Linked DNA regions of Saccharomyces cerevisiae S288C. The gene in region 1 interacts genetically with each later gene. Each region holds a gene or a part of one and is shown in the gene's direction. Other genes may lie near its edges.

Evidence for each region. Genes that interact genetically often act in the same process or in processes that back each other up.
Region 2: mutations in THI3 (region 1) and EST1 together harm fitness more than expected from each alone (negative genetic interaction), as found in Saccharomyces cerevisiae (3 studies listed by BioGRID).
Region 3: mutations in THI3 (region 1) and THI7 together harm fitness more than expected from each alone (negative genetic interaction), as found in Saccharomyces cerevisiae (3 studies listed by BioGRID, with this or other methods).

Annotation. Positions count from the first base shown.
Region 1 is NC_001136.10:306,622-315,289, reverse strand, and holds THI3 (branched-chain-2-oxoacid decarboxylase THI3), read left to right. Parts: upstream 1-2,818; coding exon 2,819-4,648; downstream 4,649-8,668. Other genes in the region: putative serine/threonine protein kinase MRK1, read left to right, coding at 542-953, 1,246-2,339; ribosomal protein P1 RPP1A, read left to right, coding at 5,168-5,488; 60S ribosomal protein eL13 RPL13A, read right to left, coding at 5,902-6,497, 6,863-6,866; 40S ribosomal protein uS9 RPS16B, read left to right, coding at 7,501-7,524, 7,957-8,364. UniProt on the Saccharomyces cerevisiae protein: One of five 2-oxo acid decarboxylases (PDC1, PDC5, PDC6, ARO10, and THI3) involved in amino acid catabolism.
Region 2 is NC_001144.5:604,670-611,331, reverse strand, and holds EST1 (Est1p), read left to right. Parts: upstream 1-1,807; coding exon 1,808-3,907; downstream 3,908-6,662. Other genes in the region: TOP3 (DNA topoisomerase 3), read right to left, coding at 1-1,549; BNA5 (kynureninase), read left to right, coding at 4,213-5,574; Rho family GTPase CDC42, read left to right, coding at 6,545-6,662. UniProt on the Saccharomyces cerevisiae protein: Directly involved in telomere replication. Associates with telomerase and during its interaction with CDC13, telomerase activity is promoted.
Region 3 is NC_001144.5:610,629-616,918, forward strand, and holds THI7 (thiamine transporter THI7), read left to right. Parts: upstream 1-1,738; coding exon 1,739-3,535; downstream 3,536-6,290. Other genes in the region: TOP3 (DNA topoisomerase 3), read left to right, coding at 1-1,125; YLR236C (uncharacterized protein), read right to left, coding at 1,166-1,489; FAR10 (Far10p), read left to right, coding at 4,127-5,563; lipoyl(octanoyl) transferase LIP2, read right to left, coding at 5,704-6,290. UniProt on the Saccharomyces cerevisiae protein: Responsible for intake of thiamine.

The DNA of each region.
Region 1 (8,668 bases):
ATGTTTCGCTTACTATGATATTTTATACTCAAGTAAATTGAAGGAAAGGAAACCATATCCTCCTAGTGGCTGCGCTGCACTACGCCGCTATGACCAATTCCGCTATGACCAGTTTACCTTTACCACACTCACTCCACGATGTTTTAAGCGTTCCTTGTCAAATATGCACCATCTCGTGATTTTTCAAAGATTGGTAAAGGAACATGAAAAAAAAAAAGCGGGGGGGTGGGGAAAATAGAGTTGATTCTGCAAAAGAGAAAGACAAAGGCCGCCCCTGGGAGCAAAGTCGTCCGATGAGGAACTAACCAGGGGCAGCATTATCCGTTAGGATCTACCGGAGAGCTGTTCCAGCGGCGGATCTGAGAAAGATTGGTTCTCCTTTTGTCGCTATATCTTGCAACTTAAATAAGCATTCTCTAAAAAATACTGGTGCTATAAGAACCCTGCTGCATACAAGTATTTCCGTTTCTACCATACTGCGGGGAAGGGACTTGAAAATAATCTCAAGATTGAAGAGGTGAAAATTGTAAAATAGTCTACTATGACCGATGTGTTGAGAAGCCTAGTGCGAAAGATTTCCTTCAATAACTCAGATAACCTTCAGCTAAAACACAAGACATCTATACAGAGTAATACTGCCCTAGAAAAGAAGAAGAGAAAGCCTGATACAATCAAAAAGGTAAGCGACGTTCAAGTTCACCATACTGTACCTAATTTCAATAACAGTTCAGAGTACATCAACGACATAGAGAATCTTATAATATCTAAACTGATAGACGGGGGAAAGGAGGGTATTGCAGTTGATCACATTGAACACGCCAATATCTCGGACAGTAAAACAGATGGAAAAGTTGCCAATAAGCACGAAAATATTAGTAGCAAGCTTAGTAAAGAGAAGGTTGAGAAAATGATTAATTTTGATTATAGGTATATTAAAACCAAGGAAAGGACTAGTATGTATAATTATTTTTTATTTTTTTTTTTTATGTTCTTGCCAGTGGAGGAATGTTTCTTTCGTCACAACCGGAGTGAATAGTGGAACTACTGTCAGTTCATAGTATCGCGACACAAAAAAAAATAATTAAAAGAAAAAAAAAGAGAGTGTAAAATAAAGATTTATGAAATTGCATCCCTAATCTTAGAAACTTGCTTACGAAATATCAGGAAGCATAGCGGAACATTTTTCCATATTACATCAACTACCATTTTTTATGGGAATCACATTATATACTAACATAGGTTTAGTTCATAAACGGGTTTATAAACATGACCGCAAAACTGATGTCGACCGAAAAAATCATGGAGGAACTATCGACATCAGTTATCCTACGACAGAAGTGGTTGGCCATGGTTCATTTGGTGTTGTAGTCACGACTGTAATAATTGAGACCAATCAAAAAGTTGCCATAAAGAAAGTACTACAAGATAGAAGATATAAAAATAGGGAGCTCGAAACTATGAAGATGTTGTGCCATCCAAATACTGTGGGTCTACAGTACTACTTTTACGAAAAGGACGAAGAAGATGAAGTATACCTCAATCTGGTTTTGGACTACATGCCTCAGTCGTTATACCAAAGGCTTCGTCATTTTGTTAATTTGAAAATGCAGATGCCGCGTGTTGAAATTAAATTCTATGCATACCAACTATTCAAAGCTTTAAACTATTTGCATAACGTTCCTCGAATCTGTCACAGAGATATAAAACCGCAAAACCTACTGGTGGATCCGACAACTTTTTCTTTCAAGATTTGCGATTTTGGCAGTGCCAAATGCTTGAAACCGGATCAGCCTAATGTGTCTTACATCTGTTCAAGGTACTATAGGGCTCCCGAACTCATGTTTGGTGCCACTAATTACTCAAACCAGGTCGACGTGTGGTCAAGCGCTTGTGTCATTGCTGAGTTGCTTTTGGGCAAGCCCTTGTTCTCTGGTGAAAGCGGTATAGATCAGTTGGTGGAAATTATTAAGATAATGGGCATACCCACAAAGGATGAAATTTCAGGAATGAACCCAAATTATGAAGACCATGTTTTCCCCAATATCAAGCCCATTACTTTGGCTGAAATATTCAAAGCCGAAGATCCCGATACTCTTGACTTGTTAACAAAAACTCTGAAGTATCACCCTTGCGAAAGATTGGTACCTCTACAATGTCTATTATCAAGCTATTTTGACGAAACCAAACGTTGTGATACCGACACTTACGTAAAAGCACAAAACCTGCGTATATTTGACTTCGACGTGGAAACTGAGTTGGGCCATGTTCCACTTGTGGAACGGCCCGCCATTGAAGAACGGTTGAAACATTTTGTTTCTGCACCTTCATCGTCTTTGTGATATATCTCATCCTTCAAATTTCTTAGTCTATTGTATCATTACTATTACATAATATGCATTTGTCTTCTGCACACAGATACACAGCGTATGCAGTTAACCTAACGTATAACGACCGTCCTCTTTCCTTCATTTAATTTCACTTGCTGCTTTTCTAGGCAGCGGTCGCCCAAATTTTCACCGGCCACAAGCGTATGACTGCATATGCAGAACCTTGGCAACTGTAAGAACTCCTATGTTTCTTTATTGCAAACAGTTGCTAAAAGCACTCACATAGAAGAAAAATTGATGAAACTTGCGATGCATTGAACAAATTTCCCTTTCTTCATACTTTACGGCATAGTAATCTTTGAACCTTTTGGTAAGCACCAAATTCGTAATTCATTATCGATATTGTGTAGAAAAGAGTAAAATATAATAAAACGAAAAAAAAAAGGTTTGAAAGAACATAACTACTAAAACGCACCGTCGTCATTCTGAAGATGAATTCTAGCTATACACAGAGATATGCACTGCCGAAGTGTATAGCAATATCAGATTATCTTTTCCATCGGCTCAACCAGCTGAACATACATACCATATTTGGACTCTCCGGAGAATTTAGCATGCCGTTGCTGGATAAACTATACAACATTCCGAACTTACGATGGGCCGGTAATTCTAATGAGTTAAATGCTGCCTACGCAGCAGATGGATACTCACGACTAAAAGGCTTGGGATGTCTCATAACAACCTTTGGTGTAGGCGAATTATCGGCAATCAATGGCGTGGCCGGATCTTACGCTGAACATGTAGGAATACTTCACATAGTGGGTATGCCGCCAACAAGTGCACAAACGAAACAACTACTACTGCATCATACTCTGGGCAATGGTGATTTCACGGTATTTCATAGAATAGCCAGTGATGTAGCATGCTATACAACATTGATTATTGACTCTGAATTATGTGCCGACGAAGTCGATAAGTGCATCAAAAAGGCTTGGATAGAACAGAGGCCAGTATACATGGGCATGCCTGTCAACCAGGTAAATCTCCCGATTGAATCAGCAAGGCTTAATACACCTCTGGATTTACAATTGCATAAAAACGACCCAGACGTAGAGAAAGAAGTTATTTCTCGAATATTGAGTTTTATATACAAAAGCCAGAATCCGGCAATCATCGTAGATGCATGTACTAGTCGACAGAATTTAATCGAGGAGACTAAAGAGCTTTGTAATAGGCTTAAATTTCCAGTTTTTGTTACACCTATGGGTAAGGGTACAGTAAACGAAACAGACCCGCAATTTGGGGGCGTATTCACGGGCTCGATATCAGCCCCAGAAGTAAGAGAAGTAGTTGATTTTGCCGATTTTATCATCGTCATTGGTTGCATGCTCTCCGAATTCAGCACGTCAACTTTCCACTTCCAATATAAAACTAAGAATTGTGCGCTACTATATTCTACATCTGTGAAATTGAAAAATGCCACATATCCTGACTTGAGCATTAAATTACTACTACAGAAAATATTAGCAAATCTTGATGAATCTAAACTGTCTTACCAACCAAGCGAACAACCCAGTATGATGGTTCCAAGACCTTACCCAGCAGGAAATGTCCTCTTGAGACAAGAATGGGTCTGGAATGAAATATCCCATTGGTTCCAACCAGGTGACATAATCATAACAGAAACTGGTGCTTCTGCATTTGGAGTTAACCAGACCAGATTTCCGGTAAATACACTAGGTATTTCGCAAGCTCTTTGGGGATCTGTCGGATATACAATGGGGGCGTGTCTTGGGGCAGAATTTGCTGTTCAAGAGATAAACAAGGATAAATTCCCCGCAACTAAACATAGAGTTATTCTGTTTATGGGTGACGGTGCTTTCCAATTGACAGTTCAAGAATTATCCACAATTGTTAAGTGGGGATTGACACCTTATATTTTTGTGATGAATAACCAAGGTTACTCTGTGGACAGGTTTTTGCATCACAGGTCAGATGCTAGTTATTACGATATCCAACCTTGGAACTACTTGGGATTATTGCGAGTATTTGGTTGCACGAACTACGAAACGAAAAAAATTATTACTGTTGGAGAATTCAGATCCATGATCAGTGACCCAAACTTTGCGACCAATGACAAAATTCGGATGATAGAGATTATGCTACCACCAAGGGATGTTCCACAGGCTCTGCTTGACAGGTGGGTGGTAGAAAAAGAACAGAGCAAACAAGTGCAAGAGGAGAACGAAAATTCTAGCGCAGTAAATACGCCAACTCCAGAATTCCAACCACTTCTAAAAAAAAATCAAGTTGGATACTGATCTGATCTCTCCGCCCTACTACCAGGGACCCTCATGATTACCGCTCGAATGCGACGTTTCCTGCCTCATAAAACTGGCTTGAAAATATTTATTCGCTGAACAGTAGCCTAGCTTATAAAAATTTCATTTAATTAATGTAATATGAAAACTCACATGCCTTCTGTTTCTAAAATTGTCACAGCAAGAAATAACATTACCATACGTGATCTTATTAAACTCTAGTATCTTGTCTAATACTTCATTTAAAAGAAGCCTTAACCCTGTAGCCTCATCTATGTCTGCTACATATCGTGAGGTACGAATATCGTAAGATGATACCACGCAACTTTGTAATGATTTTTTTTTTTTCATTTTTTAAAGAATGCCTTTACATGGTATTTGAAAAAAATATCTTTATAAAGTTTGCGATCTCTTCTGTTCTGAATAATTTTTAGTAAAAGAAATCAAAAGAATAAAGAAATAGTCCGCTTTGTCCAATACAACAGCTTAAACCGATTATCTCTAAAATAACAAGAAGAAATGTCTACTGAATCCGCTTTGTCTTACGCCGCCTTGATTTTGGCTGACTCTGAAATCGAAATCTCTTCTGAAAAGTTGTTGACTTTGACTAACGCTGCCAATGTCCCAGTTGAAAATATCTGGGCTGATATTTTTGCTAAGGCTTTGGACGGCCAAAACTTGAAGGACTTATTGGTCAACTTCAGCGCTGGTGCTGCTGCCCCAGCTGGTGTCGCTGGTGGTGTCGCTGGTGGTGAAGCCGGTGAAGCCGAAGCTGAAAAGGAAGAAGAAGAAGCTAAAGAAGAATCCGATGACGACATGGGTTTCGGTTTATTTGATTAGAAGTGCCGCACTGTTTAGAAGAAATTGCATATTCTAACATTTAAAATTTTTTATAATTTTTCTATATAGTCGCTTTTAATACAATAAGACAGTACTTTCTTTTTGTTCAATACCATCTTTCGCATCTCTTCTATGCTATATATAATGCCACGTTGTGCTCGAAGGAAAAGCCTGCAAACCTGACTACTACTAATACAATAATGTTCCATCATATCAAGAAAACTGCGCTAACTTGTAAAAATACTGTCAACCATATTCTCACCCAGACTATAAAGTTAAGGAAATGATAAATTATAAGTGATGGCTTCCCGTTTATACATTGTACATATATATTATTTATGAAATTGAACAGATAAAAAAGAAGGAAAATACAAAAATTGTGGATGAAAAATTCTTTGATGAAGTTTTTAGATCTATTTCTTCTTTTCAGCTTCAGCTTCAGCCTTTTCTCTAGCTCTCTTTTCTCTGATACCTCTGAATTTCTTCTCAGATCTGGCTAATCTCAAGGTTCTGAAAGCAGATTCACCATTGTCTTGGACAGCTCTAGCTTCAACATCGGTAGCTGGTTGAGCAATTGGGAAAGTAGCAGCAGCAGACAAAACTTGTTCAGCTTCTGGGGCCTTACCATTTCTTGGGAAAACAATAATCTTAGATTGGTATTCCTTTAATCTTTGAACGTTAGCATCAAAGATTTCTTGGTTTCTGTTTTGACGTCTGTGGTCAACGGCGATACCGATAGTTCTGGCATAAGCAGCAGTCAAACCAGCGGCCTTAACTTCAGCCAAGGTGAAACCTCTGCCAGCTCTGACCTTTCTGTTATACTTAACAGTTGGGGCTCTAACAACAGGTCTCAAGAGATCTAGAGGTCTTGGAGCAATCTTAGCGGCTCTGGTAGCTCTAGCATTACGTCTAGAAACCTTCTTACCAGCTTGGTCGAAGTGCACTTTAACACGTTCTTGCCAGTGCTTTCTGAAATGATTCTTTAAGATTGGTAAATTCTTGGAAATGGCTGATATAATTCAATTGGTAGATCCCATTTTAAAAATTGTTAGTATACAGAAAAGTGGACGTTTCAATTAGACACCAAATTTATCATATTATCTAAGAAGACTCTAACAATGAGTTCAGCAAATAGTGGTACAAAGGTCCTGTCTCGAATTTGCTTGGCCATTACTATGACTGCTCAGTTATTGTAAAAAGGAGAAAAATCTCATGATTTATTAGAAAATAACTTTAGCCTCTCTAGGTTCATCAATAACGTGTGTTGTATTATGCATGCCTTTGTGCACTAGTATAATCCTCTAAGGTAACAAGCGAGCTTCTTTGGTCTATGAAATGACAAAAGTGATTTGAATTATTTTATAGTAGACATACCCATTGTGTACGATTCCTGCTGTGCTGTACTATGCTTTTCTCAAACCCCTTCGAACAGAATGCTGCAAGCTTAAATGGATTAGTAGCTAATATCCGATCATTTCAAATTTTCCAAGATTTCCACACCTCTACTGTGATTATTCCGACTAGAAAAAAATTAAATTTTCTAACTACAAAAAATTGCCTGCATATATGTAAGGATGTAACAGGAAATGTATGGGTCACATATTAATAGCTTGTTTTACTCCATAAAAGAGTCTGATATTCAGAAAAAACACCCATACATGTTGAAAAATAATGCATTGTGAAAAAAAGTGGTTGAAAAATGTATGCGATCTAGGAAAAACTGAATTTTCCTTAGGTTGTCGCTCCTCCTCTAGAAGGATGCTGTGGCCTTTGACCTGGGCGGAAATTCTCTCTGTTTCCCTCTAGCTGAGGGAAACAGAACTGGTAGCAGTTCGTTCCGGCCAGGCCGCGTGAGCCTATACCACCGAATATTATCCTAGCGCAGAGAGTAACACTGGCAAAGTCAAAAGTAAATGCCATGTAAAATGTATAGGTTACGCAGTAGACTATTTAATATATACCTTTTTATTTAGCAGTGTTTCGAAAAATACAGCAAGAGAATAAGCAACAAGATGTCTGCCGTCCCAAGTGTCCAAGTATGTTAAATAATTTAAACGATGTCACGAATTTGTGAGGGATATTGAAACCATGCAGTGAGATAATTTCAATTTAAGAACCATATCACCTGAATAAGACGGGTGGGGCAAGCACTAGATGCGAATCATAGTTTTAGAACAACGGATCACCATTTCACACGTTAAAGACCGAGTAGAAATAACCAATAAATTGTGTGGGAAAATATTATACTTAATTTCTCTGTGGAGTAAAGTAATGAGCGTCTTTTGCGGTCTTATTTATTCATTCGCTCCCCTTGCAATGAATTTTGAACAGAATGCTCCAAAGAGGAAGTGCCAGGGTACCTCACTTGTTTCACCCTTTTACACAGTTCATAATATTTTTGAGGATTTTGAATTTCTGTTTTACTAACATGTGACACGAAATGTTTTTCATTTTTGGTTTTATAACAGACTTTTGGTAAGAAGAAATCAGCTACCGCTGTTGCCCACGTCAAGGCCGGTAAGGGTTTGATTAAGGTCAACGGTTCTCCAATCACTTTGGTTGAACCAGAAATCCTAAGATTCAAGGTCTACGAACCATTATTGTTGGTTGGTTTGGACAAGTTCTCCAACATCGATATCAGAGTTAGAGTCACTGGTGGTGGTCATGTTTCTCAAGTCTACGCCATCAGACAAGCTATTGCTAAGGGTTTAGTCGCTTACCACCAAAAGTACGTTGACGAACAATCCAAGAACGAATTGAAGAAGGCCTTCACCTCTTACGACAGAACTTTGTTGATCGCTGATTCTAGAAGACCAGAACCAAAGAAATTCGGTGGTAAGGGTGCTCGTTCTAGATTCCAAAAATCTTACCGTTAAGAAAATTTCAAGATTTTTTCCAGAAATCTCTTCACTTTTCTTTGCACATCTATTGTATTAAAAAACTTTTTACTTACATATACTGTATATCTTCCTATAACGGGTAAAACGTTAATTTAGAATCATTCCCAAAACTTCATTTCCTTATCATGCTTTGCCATGTGATGCCCAATAGAATTGTCTTGTGCGTTCACGAAATGACTACACTACGTTCATTTTCCAACAAAAACTCAATCTTTCGCTATAACTGCTAATTTTTTTCCACTTCCCCTTTTTTGTTTGTTTTGTTCGTTTGAATAATACA
Region 2 (6,662 bases), on another chromosome or scaffold:
TCGCGATGTCTACGAGGGCATTCATTTCAAGCCGCGGTAACTGCTTGGTGGTTTCCCATCGGGCCCAAGGGTAAACATCGAGGAAATTTCTCTCTAGGACTACGAGACCTGAAGCTGAGAAACGTTCAACGGCCCAGTCCAACACAAGGGTCATCGATTGGCCCTTGGCGTCCTCTGAGCAGCATGCCAAAAAGTGCCTGGCCACGTACTCGTATACTCTTCTTTCCACTGGCGAAACATTTGCTTCAGGCCCCAGACTTACGATGGGGTGGATTGGTGGATGCGCTTTGTCGTCATGGGAGCCGCTTCGTGGAAACTTGAACTTGTTATTGTTACTTGTGTTTTCGGGTTGGAGCAGCGATGCCGCGTACGATGCCCAGGCGGTTCTGCCGCCTGCAGCGAGTTGGTCCAATTGAGCTTGCTTTTCGACCAAGGATTTTAGGTCCATTGCGTGTGGGAAAGTATCAGTCTCTGTTCTTGGATACGATATGAACCCCTTTTGGTATAGCTTTTCTGCTGCGTCTAGTGATTGTTTGGCGTTCAGACGCAGGTACCGGGCGCAGTTTTTTTGTAGCTCCACTGTGGTCAGAGGTAAAGGTCTGTATTTCGTTGTTGGCTTTGATTTCAAGTCTACTACTTGAGCAACATTGCCGGCGGTTTCGATGCATGTCTCGTAAAACGTTAACACGCTCAGCCGGTCGAACAAGTGGCCCCTGTCCCACTGGAACGTTGTTGTTCCGCCGTTGTCTTTGTTTTCGACTACCAATTGGATATACCAGAACTCTTCGGGAACAAAATTTCGTATTCTTTCAAACCTGTCTACTACAAAGCCGAGCGTTGGAAACTGGCATGTACCATACGATACGACTTGTGAGTCGTTCTTGTTACCACCGCGGTGTTTTGCACCATCCTTGGTCATGGTGGCTTGGTTTCTCAGTTTATTTCGTAGCGTTTCTGTTAAGAGTCTGGTGAATGTAACACCTGCTCGAAGATCGATTTCAATCCGCGTGCCTACAGCGTGCACACTCTTCATATCCAATCGACTTGGGTTTCGTGCTGCATTTAATATGTGTTGTCTTTCGAGATGCGAAAAGACTGCCCGGTATACTTGATCATTTTGTATGAGCCTGTTGCCTCTCTTGGCCTCCTGCCATATCTCCCAACCGATGTACTCTCCTTCCCGGTCGCAATCTGTCCATATCATCAGATAGTCTGCATTCCTCGCTTCTCGCTTGATGTTGCTTGCTATCTTTTTTTGGTTGTTATTCATAATCTCGTTCAGTGGCGCATCAAATAACTCTTGGATGGCGCATTTTCCCCACCCATGCGAATCATGGCTGAAATCAATGCCTGTTAGGTGCCCTGCAACACTAGTCATGGTAACTTCGCAGTTAGCCCCATTTCTGGCAAACGGGAACCCACTAAACATGAAATCATAGTTCTTTACATACATGTAGCCGGAATCCCTTGAAGTTGATCTGCCTCCTCCTAGGATCTGTGAAACTGCCTTCGCTATAGAATTTTTCTCTGCGACACATAGCACTTTCATTATTGTCTATAATACACCTTTACGTAGCTGAAGCGAGCGCACAGACGAAGGTGCTTTCAAAAGCGATGCCCTCTTTATTGACAGTTACTAATTCGCCAAACTGCTTTTTTTTATCAATGTGATTTTCGCGTTCACGCCATTATCCAATGTCAAAAAGGATAATGGAAATGTTAACATGCCTGTATGATCCGACCGTTTTTAGCAAACTTATCAGGGGAAAAAGTATATTCCATTAAATGACACATGCCACCATAGATAATGGATAATGAAGAAGTTAACGAAGAATGTATGAGATTATTTTTCAAGAACGCTCGTGCGCATCTGGATAAACATCTAACATCAAGGTTGACATGCGATGAAAATGCATATATCACGTTCAGATGCTTCCTGGATGGAATACATCGCAAATCTACTAGGTTTCTCGAAGAGCTACTTTTGAAACAAGAAAATATGTACCATAATAACAATTACGAACGCATAAATGATTCCGTGATACCATTGGTTCTGAAACTTTTATGGCTTCAAATTCACGAACCTACACTCCAATGGTTTGAGCACTGGTTCCATGATATCATGCGACTAAGTAACAGAAGAAAGTTCAGAGTTTTTAGAATTTTTCAAAAAAAAATGATTCAATTTTTCAAAATTACACACAGGTATTACTATGACATCATCGAACACCTATGCGCAAAGTACGATATGAATTCCGTTATTTCAAATGCTCTCTTCGCGAAGTTGAATTTAATGCAATACACAGATGGACTTTCAACTCATGAGAAAATTATCTTAAACACGAGTAATCCACTGACGTTTTCCATTGTAATCTCACTACAAAGATGCGTGATTAATCTAGGTTCCACACATTTTTATAAAACACTACTAAACAAGCCGTCTAACAAACCCAAGAGTGTGGAAGGTTTTGAGAAGTCTATTAGGTACTTGAATATTGCCTCACTCTATCTCCCAGCCGTTGGAGATACTTATTTTCAACGAGCGAAAATTTACTTGATCACTGGGAAATTCTCACTGTATTTCTTTGAATTAGTAAGAGGAGCATTGGTAAGGATTCCGTCTAAATGTGCGTTAAACAATTTGAAAGATTTCATTTTGACTCCTGATTTTCCGGAAAGAAGACGTCTGATGAAAAAATTGGCAATTCTTGTGTCAAAAGATCTCAAAGGTGAGAAATCATTCTTTGAAGGTCAAATTGTTTTGCAATTTCTATCGATAGTAGAACACACTTTGGTTCCACAGTCATGGAACGCATCACGTGCTTCTAATTGTTGGTTATTGAAAGAGCATTTACAAATGGCTGCATTAAAGTATCATTCAGGTAATATTAATGTTATACTTGAAAACTTGGCTGCCACAATGGGAAGTTTCGATCTTATGTTTACAACTCGAAAAAGTAAGGAACAAAAGAACAAACTCAAATATGCAGATTTGAGTGAGCGCCAGGTTTTTTTTTTAGACTTGAGCTTTGATTTTATTGCTAATATCATAGACGTCGTCATCAAACCCTCCTGGCAAAAAAACATGGAAGACTTTCGATATCTAGCCATTATTCGTTTGCTTATGTGCTGGATTAAGTCATATAGATCTATTTTGCAGTACACTCACAGACACAGGAAGTTTTGCACTTCATTCGCCTTGTTGCTGAACGACTTGATAAATAGTCCACTGAATTGTTCAGGAAATATATATAGCCACAGGCCGAAAAGAAGCTATCTTTTTAGAGAAGATATTATTTTCAGGGAATTTTCTTGCATTAACTTTGCACTAACAGATTTTAATGACGATTATGTGTATGATTCTCCCGACATGATTAATAATATAATTGGATGCCCTACATTGACTAAAGTGCTTTCTCCAAAAGAAGAATGTGTTCTGCGAATTAGATCAATAATATTTTCTGGCATGAAATTTTTAGAGAAAAATGACACCGGCGTCATATGGAATGCCAGCAAATATAAGTTTGATTTAATAAGCCCAAATATTAAAATAAAACGCCAAATAGCATTATCGGAAATTTCCTCCAAAATAAATGTAAAAACACAACAGGAAAGAGTAGTCTCTTCGAGAAAAGTTGAGGCCAAAAGAGATGAACAACAGCGCAAAAGAGCCGGGAAAATAGCTGTGACAGAACTGGAAAAACAATTTGCAAATGTCCGGAGAACAAAAAAATTGTCTCCGCTCCCAGAAAAAGATGGCGTTTCTTCTGAGTTGGTAAAACATGCTGCTTCACGAGGGAGAAAAACTATCACTGGCCCACTATCCTCTGATTTTCTCTCATATCCAGACGAAGCAATTGATGCTGATGAGGACATCACCGTCCAAGTGCCAGATACTCCTACTTGAGAGAACAAGTAATGGTGAGGGAAAAAATCATAATATGAAATATATTATGACGACGTCAATTAACGTCGTCCACGCCTGTCGTCGTCAACCCACGAAAATATGGGGGCGGTTTTTATAACGGTTATTAAAACGACGGGATGCCGTCTACGGCACGGACAAACCCATCGCTTTGGAAATAGGTGACTGCGCTTGAAAAACATAATTATTTATTAGCATAATAAATTCAAGACAGCAAATATATATGCTGTCAATACGTACATATTAAGCCTAAATATTCTGTGGAAAAAAGAAACAAACTGGTAATTATGGAGAAAGCTTTGGAATTAGACGGAGAATATCCGGAATCTCTGAGGGATGAATTCAACATCCCTACATTTAAATCCATGGGACTATCGTCCGACGATAAGCCTGTGACGTACTTATGCGGGAATTCTTTAGGTTTGATGCCGAAGTCAACTAGGAATTCAATTAATGCTGAGCTAGATGCGTGGAGCGATTGTGCTGTGGAATCGCATTTCAAACATCCTGAAGAAGCCAGAGGAAAGGTGCCTTGGGTCAGCATTGACTTACCTATTCTTCCACTACTAGCCCCCATCGTGGGTGCTCAAGAAAATGAAGTTGCAGTAATGAATAGTCTCACTGCAAATTTGAATTCATTGTTAATTACGTTTTATAAACCTACTGAGAAAAGATTCAAGATCCTTTTTGAAAAGGGCTCCTTTCCATCAGACTATTATGCTTTCTACAACCAGTGCAAAATTCATGGAATTTCGGAACCTGAGAATGTTTTTATTCAGATCGAGCCACGCGAGGGAGAGACTTATATCAGAACTCAAGATATCCTGGATACCATAGAGGTAAATCAAGATGAATTGGCGCTGGTCTGTTTGTCAGGTGTTCAGTATTACACGGGGCAATATTTCGATATTGGCCGAATCACCTCATTTGCCCACCAATTCCCCGACATATTGGTTGGATGGGATTTAGCACACGCTGTAGGGAACGTCCCATTGCAACTTCATGATTGGGGTGTTGACTTTGCCTGTTGGTGTTCTTACAAGTACTTGAATGCCGGGCCTGGTGGAATTGGTGGCTTATTTGTCCACTCGAAGCATACTAAACCAGACCCTGCTAAGGAAAGTTTGCCAAGATTAGCTGGTTGGTGGGGCAATGATCCTGCTAAGCGATTTCAAATGCTGGAAGTATTCGAGCCGATTCCAGGAGCATTGGGATTCAGGCAATCTAATCCAAGCGTTATTGACACAGTGGCATTGAGAAGTTCATTGGAATTATTTGCGAAGTTTAATGGTATTAATGAAGTTCGTAAAAGATCGTTGTTGCTGACGAACTATATGACGGAACTGTTGGAAGCCTCCAAGTATTACAAACACCCTTTAAGGATCGAGAAATTACCATGTTTTTTTACAATATTAACTCCAACAAGCACAGATGAAGAACATGGCGCCCAATTGTCACTTTACTTCGATTCTGACACTGGAAAAGAGGATATTATGCCCAAAGTTTTCCAATATTTGCATGACCATGGTGTCATTGGCGATGCAAGAAGACCAAACGTAATTAGATTGGCTCCTGCTCCCTTATATAATACATTTTCAGATGTATACATTGCGGTGAATGCACTAAATGAGGCGATGGATAAGTTGTAGTCCTAGAGTGACCGCATCGCCTTCATCTTCTTTTGGATATTATATATGACGTAGTTTGAAATTCGTATACTTACTGATAGCGAACCTATAAATTTATACTTTCTTTCCAAGAATTAAAATAAATATCTGGGCCCGTGTATTACTTACCAGTTGCCGTGCATAGTCGTGAATCTTCTTTCATTTATCAACCTTCTTCCAATAATGAAGCTAACTTATCAGTGGTAGTACTGTTGAACGAAACAAGCCGGAACTCAAAAGGGTAATTTCGTGAAAAACAATCATCTACGGTATAAATAACAATTTAATTTACGTCTCTTTCGAAAATGCTCGTGTAGCTCAGTGGTTAGAGCTTCGTGCTTATAGCAACATTCGGTTTCCGAAGTTTCTGTGCCAAAGACCTTTCAAACAGGCCTTTAAAAGCAACGCGACCGTCGTGGGTTCAATCCCCACCTCGAGCACTTTCTCTTTTTTTTTTAAAAAAAGTTGCATTATTTCTATCAACTGTTGTAGCTACGTTACACCTAATTTTGTATTGTAGACTGTTAGATAATCCACATATACAGGTAAATACGGCACATTGTCTTCTAAACATCGCATTAAAGATGTCTTCCACCGTCGATTCAAGGGTCATTCAATACGGGTAATACTGCTTCCATTGGGCCCTTCCAAATGAAACAAGATACGGGAAAAAGTGATAAAAAAAAGCAAACAAGGTTGATTGATCGATGATAGACGCGATTCTTGGAAAAGGCAAGAGCAGCGTTTTGATAAATAGGTTCCAGGTGTACCGAGATATACTGATTATCCTTCTCTGTCATTCTTCACTTTTTGCAATAGGTTTCCTTTGTCGCAAAAAATTATATTCGTTATTTATTATACTATTCTATTTTCCTGAGGAGATAGGTTAACAAACGAATTAGAGAAGCAAAACTTATAAAACAAGAAATAAACGTATTAGCTCTTCCACAAAATGCAAACGCTAAAGTGTGTTGTTGTCGGTGATGGTGCTGTTGGGAAAACGTGCCTTCTAATCTCCTATACAACGAATCAATTTCCAGCCGACTATGTTCCAACAGTGTTCGATAACT
Region 3 (6,290 bases), on another chromosome or scaffold:
TTCGACCGGCTGAGCGTGTTAACGTTTTACGAGACATGCATCGAAACCGCCGGCAATGTTGCTCAAGTAGTAGACTTGAAATCAAAGCCAACAACGAAATACAGACCTTTACCTCTGACCACAGTGGAGCTACAAAAAAACTGCGCCCGGTACCTGCGTCTGAACGCCAAACAATCACTAGACGCAGCAGAAAAGCTATACCAAAAGGGGTTCATATCGTATCCAAGAACAGAGACTGATACTTTCCCACACGCAATGGACCTAAAATCCTTGGTCGAAAAGCAAGCTCAATTGGACCAACTCGCTGCAGGCGGCAGAACCGCCTGGGCATCGTACGCGGCATCGCTGCTCCAACCCGAAAACACAAGTAACAATAACAAGTTCAAGTTTCCACGAAGCGGCTCCCATGACGACAAAGCGCATCCACCAATCCACCCCATCGTAAGTCTGGGGCCTGAAGCAAATGTTTCGCCAGTGGAAAGAAGAGTATACGAGTACGTGGCCAGGCACTTTTTGGCATGCTGCTCAGAGGACGCCAAGGGCCAATCGATGACCCTTGTGTTGGACTGGGCCGTTGAACGTTTCTCAGCTTCAGGTCTCGTAGTCCTAGAGAGAAATTTCCTCGATGTTTACCCTTGGGCCCGATGGGAAACCACCAAGCAGTTACCGCGGCTTGAAATGAATGCCCTCGTAGACATCGCGAAGGCCGAAATGAAGGCGGGCACTACGGCGCCGCCCAAGCCGATGACTGAGAGTGAACTCATTCTCCTCATGGATACAAACGGCATTGGCACAGACGCCACCATTGCGGAGCACATAGACAAGATCCAAGTACGTAATTACGTTAGGAGCGAGAAAGTAGGCAAGGAAACCTACTTACAACCCACGACCCTGGGTGTCTCACTAGTGCACGGCTTCGAGGCCATCGGCCTCGAAGACTCCTTTGCAAAGCCCTTCCAGCGCAGAGAAATGGAGCAAGACCTCAAGAAAATCTGCGAAGGTCATGCCTCCAAGACTGATGTTGTAAAGGACATAGTCGAGAAGTATAGGAAGTACTGGCACAAGACGAATGCCTGCAAGAATACTCTCTTGCAAGTTTATGACCGTGTCAAGGCATCCATGTAAGGCGTTTTTGCCGCCCTTTGTCTTCAAAAAAGCTCTCCGCTTAATTGCATGATTCAGCTGACTGCATATGTGCATTTTCAGTACCAGCCGCAACTGCATCAAACCATGCAGAAGTCGCCGCCACAGAAGCTCCAGCGCGCCGCGTAAACGCATGTTGGAAGGCGCCCCAATTAGCATATTCACGCGCGACTACCAAACGCATAGGGAAGGTTTCAGAGAGCCGATGAGCAGCGGATGCACAGAGTACGGCCATAAGGCTGCAAAGCGCTTGGCAGGAATGGGCGTTTTCTAGAGGTTGCCTTATTGATTTATATGGAAGAGGAGAGGATTCATCGATCGGGCTTCTAAGGCAAATAGTATGCATACCTTTTTCGGGTAGTTGAAGAGAAAAGAGGAAGAGAATAGAAAAAAAAAAAAAGCGAAATTTTTACATCCTCTATTGTAATGTAATTTCTTTTTTTTTATTAGGTATATATGTGAGATACAATTCTCGAAGTCATCGGGAAGCTTTACCATTTCATTTCCTATTCCAGAACTCATATTAGCATCTATTGTTCTGAGATTCATCGCAACATCATTTAAAGGACTGTAGAGCCAATTGCATTATATCAATATGAGTTTCGGTAGTAAAGTCTCCAGGGCTTTGAGATTTTTGGAAATTCCTGTCAAAGACAGGGCATCTGTGAGTTTCTTGAAGAACCCGGATTTGCAACCTATTAAGTCGGCTAACCAAACATGGGGGTTCTGGTCTAATTTTGCATATTGGGGTGTTATGTCCTTTTCAGTGGGTACATGGATGAGTGCCTCTTCTGCACTAGGTGTTGGATTAAGTTACCCAGAAACCATTGGTACATTTATCGTCGGTGATGTGTTGACCATTATTTTCACATTGGCAAACTCGTGTCCTGGTTACGACTGGAAGGTCGGTTTCACTTTGGCCCAAAGATTCGTCTTTGGTATTTACGGTTCTGCCTTCGGTATCATCATCAGAATTTTGATGAGTATTGTCAACTACGGGTCCAACGCTTGGGTGGGAGGTCTTTGTATCAATATGATCTTGGATTCATGGTCTCACCATTATTTGCACCTGCCAAACACCTTATCTTCGAAAGTTGCCATGACCACTAAAGAATTAATTGGTTTTATCATCTTCCACGTCCTTACTGCATTCTGTTACTTAATGAAACCCTACCACATGAACTACATTTTAATTTGGTCGTGTGTTGCTACATTTTTCTCTATGTTGGGTATGGTGATCTATTTAGCTAAACAGGCTCACGGTGTTGGAGAATTGTTTACCTCCACTAAATCCACTGCCACTGGCTCCACCAAAGCTTGGGCTTGGGTTTATATGATCTCGTACTGGTTCGGTTCCGTTTCTCCAGGTTCCACCAACCAAAGTGATTACTCGAGATTTGGTTCCTCCAATTGGGCTATCTGGGCCGGTACCATCTGTGCATTGTTAATTCCAACCACTTTAATCCCAGTTTTTGGTGTTATTGGTGCCTCCACCTGTGACAAACTATACGGTGAACAATATTGGATGCCTATGGATATCTTCAACCATTGGTTGACAACTAACTATTCTGCAGGTGCTCGTGCCGGTGCGTTCTTCTGTGGTCTTTCATTTGTCCTATCTCAAATGTCCTACACCATCTCCAACTGTGGGTTTGCCAGTGGTATGGATTTGGCCGGTTTATTACCCAAGTATGTCGACATCAAGAGGGGTGCCCTTTTTGCCGCATGTGTCTCCTGGGCTTGTTTGCCATGGAACTTCTACAACTCTTCTTCTACTTTCTTGACTGTCATGAGTTCTTTCGGTGTTGTCATGACTCCTATCATTTCTGTCATGATTTGCGATAACTTCTTGATCAGAAAAAGACAATACTCCATCACTAATGCCTTTATTCTCAAGGGTGAATACTATTTCACTAAGGGTGTTAACTGGAGAGCTATTGTTGCCTGGGTTTGTGGTATGACCCCCGGTCTACCTGGTATTGCTTGGGAAGTCAATAATGACTATTTCCACAACACTGGTATTGTCAATTTCTTTTACGGTGACTCCTTCTTCTCGTTTTTGATCTCCTTTTTCGTCTATTGGGGACTATGCCTCCTCTTCCCATTCAAAATTACTGTCAAACATGATGACAAAGATTATTATGGTGCCTTTACTGACGAAGAAGCAAGAAAGAAGGGCATGGTTCCATACAGTGAAATTTCTGAAGAAGAAATCCGCGCTTACACATTAGGCGAAGGTTACACTACCGGCCACGAGTACAGACCTGAAGGCTCCGACGATGAAATACCTGAGTTGGTCAAAACTAGCTCTGAAAACACCAATGAGTTTGAAATAGTTCATCATAAGAATAATGAAAAGCAATCCTCCACCGCCAGTGAAAAAGCTGCTTAGTGGGAAATAAAATTGCAAAAAATAATTAAGAATAAAATTTCCCTTTCATTTAATGGCTCTCTGCACTAATTTTTTTACCTACGAAATTTTCCTTCGTTCACACTTAATATTAAATAACAGCTCTTTCCTAATAATAACATATACACTAGATATATAATACCAAATAAATTAAAAAAAAAGAAAAACAAAAAATAACGTAGCTTTGTTACAGTCGTAAAAAAAAGAACAATAAACCAATCTTATTGCCAGCGTCTAACTAGTCCTATTATATTCCAATATATTAAGGGGTAAGGACTACTATTATTCGCCCTGAATTGAAATCTTTTAGAAAGCACCTGTTCTCTCTCTGGTGTTCTTTTTTTCTCATCTATTATCTAATTTCTTCAACCTTCGTTATTTGTTGTTATTCCGTAATCGTGGTGCTCAACTTTTGAAATTTCACTTGTTTACCATAACGGAACATAATTAAAAATTTGTTCTTGAAAGTCACAAGCACTACGTGAACACAAAATTAAGGCAAGAGTGACAAAGTAACCCTCACAAGGAGCCTGTCGTTGGTTATATTGGAAGCTATAGATATAATCGAATCCAATGACTGGTCCTGGACCTGAAATAAATAAGGAGGAGCACCCCAGTTCTCCGGGCAAGAAACAGATAACATATAATAGTATACCCAAGAATGCAAATCTAATTGATGGATCTACGAATTCATCGAAGAGGCCAATTGAAAAGTATGACAAGAGAATAGCCGACCCAACAAAAAGCTATTTTCCACATAGCATATCAAGAACACCAAGGAGAAAATATACTTACATTCTAGTCCTCACATCACTAAATGGAACTTTTGAGAGCAAACATGTGGTGATACCATTTAAACCAGATGGTTTGAAATTGGGAAGGCCTGTTGCTAATAGTAATAGCAGCTCCAGTTCATCGCTCAGGGGCGGTAAAAGAGTGGATTCACACACTTTTTCCCAAGTAAGGTCCGATAATGGTAATTTCGATTCAAGAGTACTCTCCAGGAATCATGCATTGTTAAGTTGCGACCCGCTCACGGGTAAGGTATATATACGAGACTTAAAATCCAGTAATGGTACGTTCATTAACGGTCAAAGAATTGGCTCAAATGACGTAGAAATCAAAGTTGGCGATGTGATAGACTTGGGAACAGATATAGATACGAAAATTGAGCATCGAAAAATAAGTGCCACAGTTGAAGAACTATTTGTACAACCTTTATTAGAATCACCGATTTTTGAAAATGAAGATAGTGATGATTGCCATACAATTACAGAAAAAGAGGAGGCTGCTGCCATAACAAGTCACATATATGGTGATTCCAACAACCTAGAATTGGAAGAAGTTATCCTGGGCTCTGATACAGAAATACTGAGTGGAATTTTTATTAATAATTGTATTGGTACGAGCCCGACTTTATCTAATATCATCAAAACCCTGGCAATGGAAATTCCATTTTCCAAATGCGATAATTTTAAATTACAGTCGATGGAGAATTTCTTAATTAATTATACGACACATCTAGAATACACGAACAAACTTTTAGTGGAAAAAAATGATCAGCAACTGGTAAAGCTGCAAAATGGATTAAGAAGGAAACTGTCGGGGAAATACGAAAAGATTATCGAACAAAACAGAAATCAAGTAAAACAGTTGGAAAGGGACCATATGTTTTTCAAAAAGTCATTTGAAGTGAAGAAAAGAAGAAATAATGAAAAGCAAAAAAGCATGGAAAGGGAAATAGAAGACTTGAAAACTAGGTTAGAAGTGGAACGATATAAGAATTCACAAATGATGAAGAAGAACAAACAGAAAGAACAAGAACTCTCAACTGCATCTAAAAAAAAGACTACCGAACATGACACTAGAGGCGTCCCGGGCATGAATCCTAAGGGTACTGACAAATTTAGCATCAAGAACACGCTATGTAATCATTTCACACTATTAACATTTGGAACTATTTCCATCGGGATTATAGCTATTGTCTTCAAGATCCTTTCCCCCAACTAGCATCGTAAATACAAGACACACACGATCCGCTTTTCACGTCAGAGATTATTATATACGTACGTATATATGTAATAGATATTCACATGTAAAAAAAGGTAAGCATCCTTTCATTTAAGAAAGTATGGGGGGAGTCATCCGTCTCACGGATTCTTTTTCAAAATATTGACGTCGTCAATTTGCATTCTTTCCAAAGTTTTTATTCCTAGCAGCTTTGTCATTTCTTTGACAAAACTAATTGCTACACTTTGCACATTTACAACAGCATCGGGTCGTTGTTCCATAATTGAAGTAGTCAGTGTATTTTTCAAACCGCACATTTCAAAACTATTCATATACGATAGATCTGTATTAACATTAATTGCTACCCCGTGCGATGTTATGGAACGTCTGACGTGTATTCCAACACTAGCAACTTTCTTCTTGCCATTTTCAACCCAAACTCCAGTGTCCTTTGTAGTCATAGCATCTAAGTTCAAAGGCTTGTCAGTGTCGTCGCACATCTTGGTATTCTTCAACGTTCTGATAGTGGCCTGCTCAATGCATGAAACCAAGCATTTAGCAGGGAAACTTTGAAATGTTTTCAAATCTAAAATAATGTAAATAACAATTTGGCCTGGACCATGAAATGTTACTTGTCCACCCCTTTCCACTTGAACAAACTTTGGTCGTGGGTTGTCCTTTTGCGTTTCTGGAATGAAACTTTCATAAGCCGCTATCTGATCTGGCG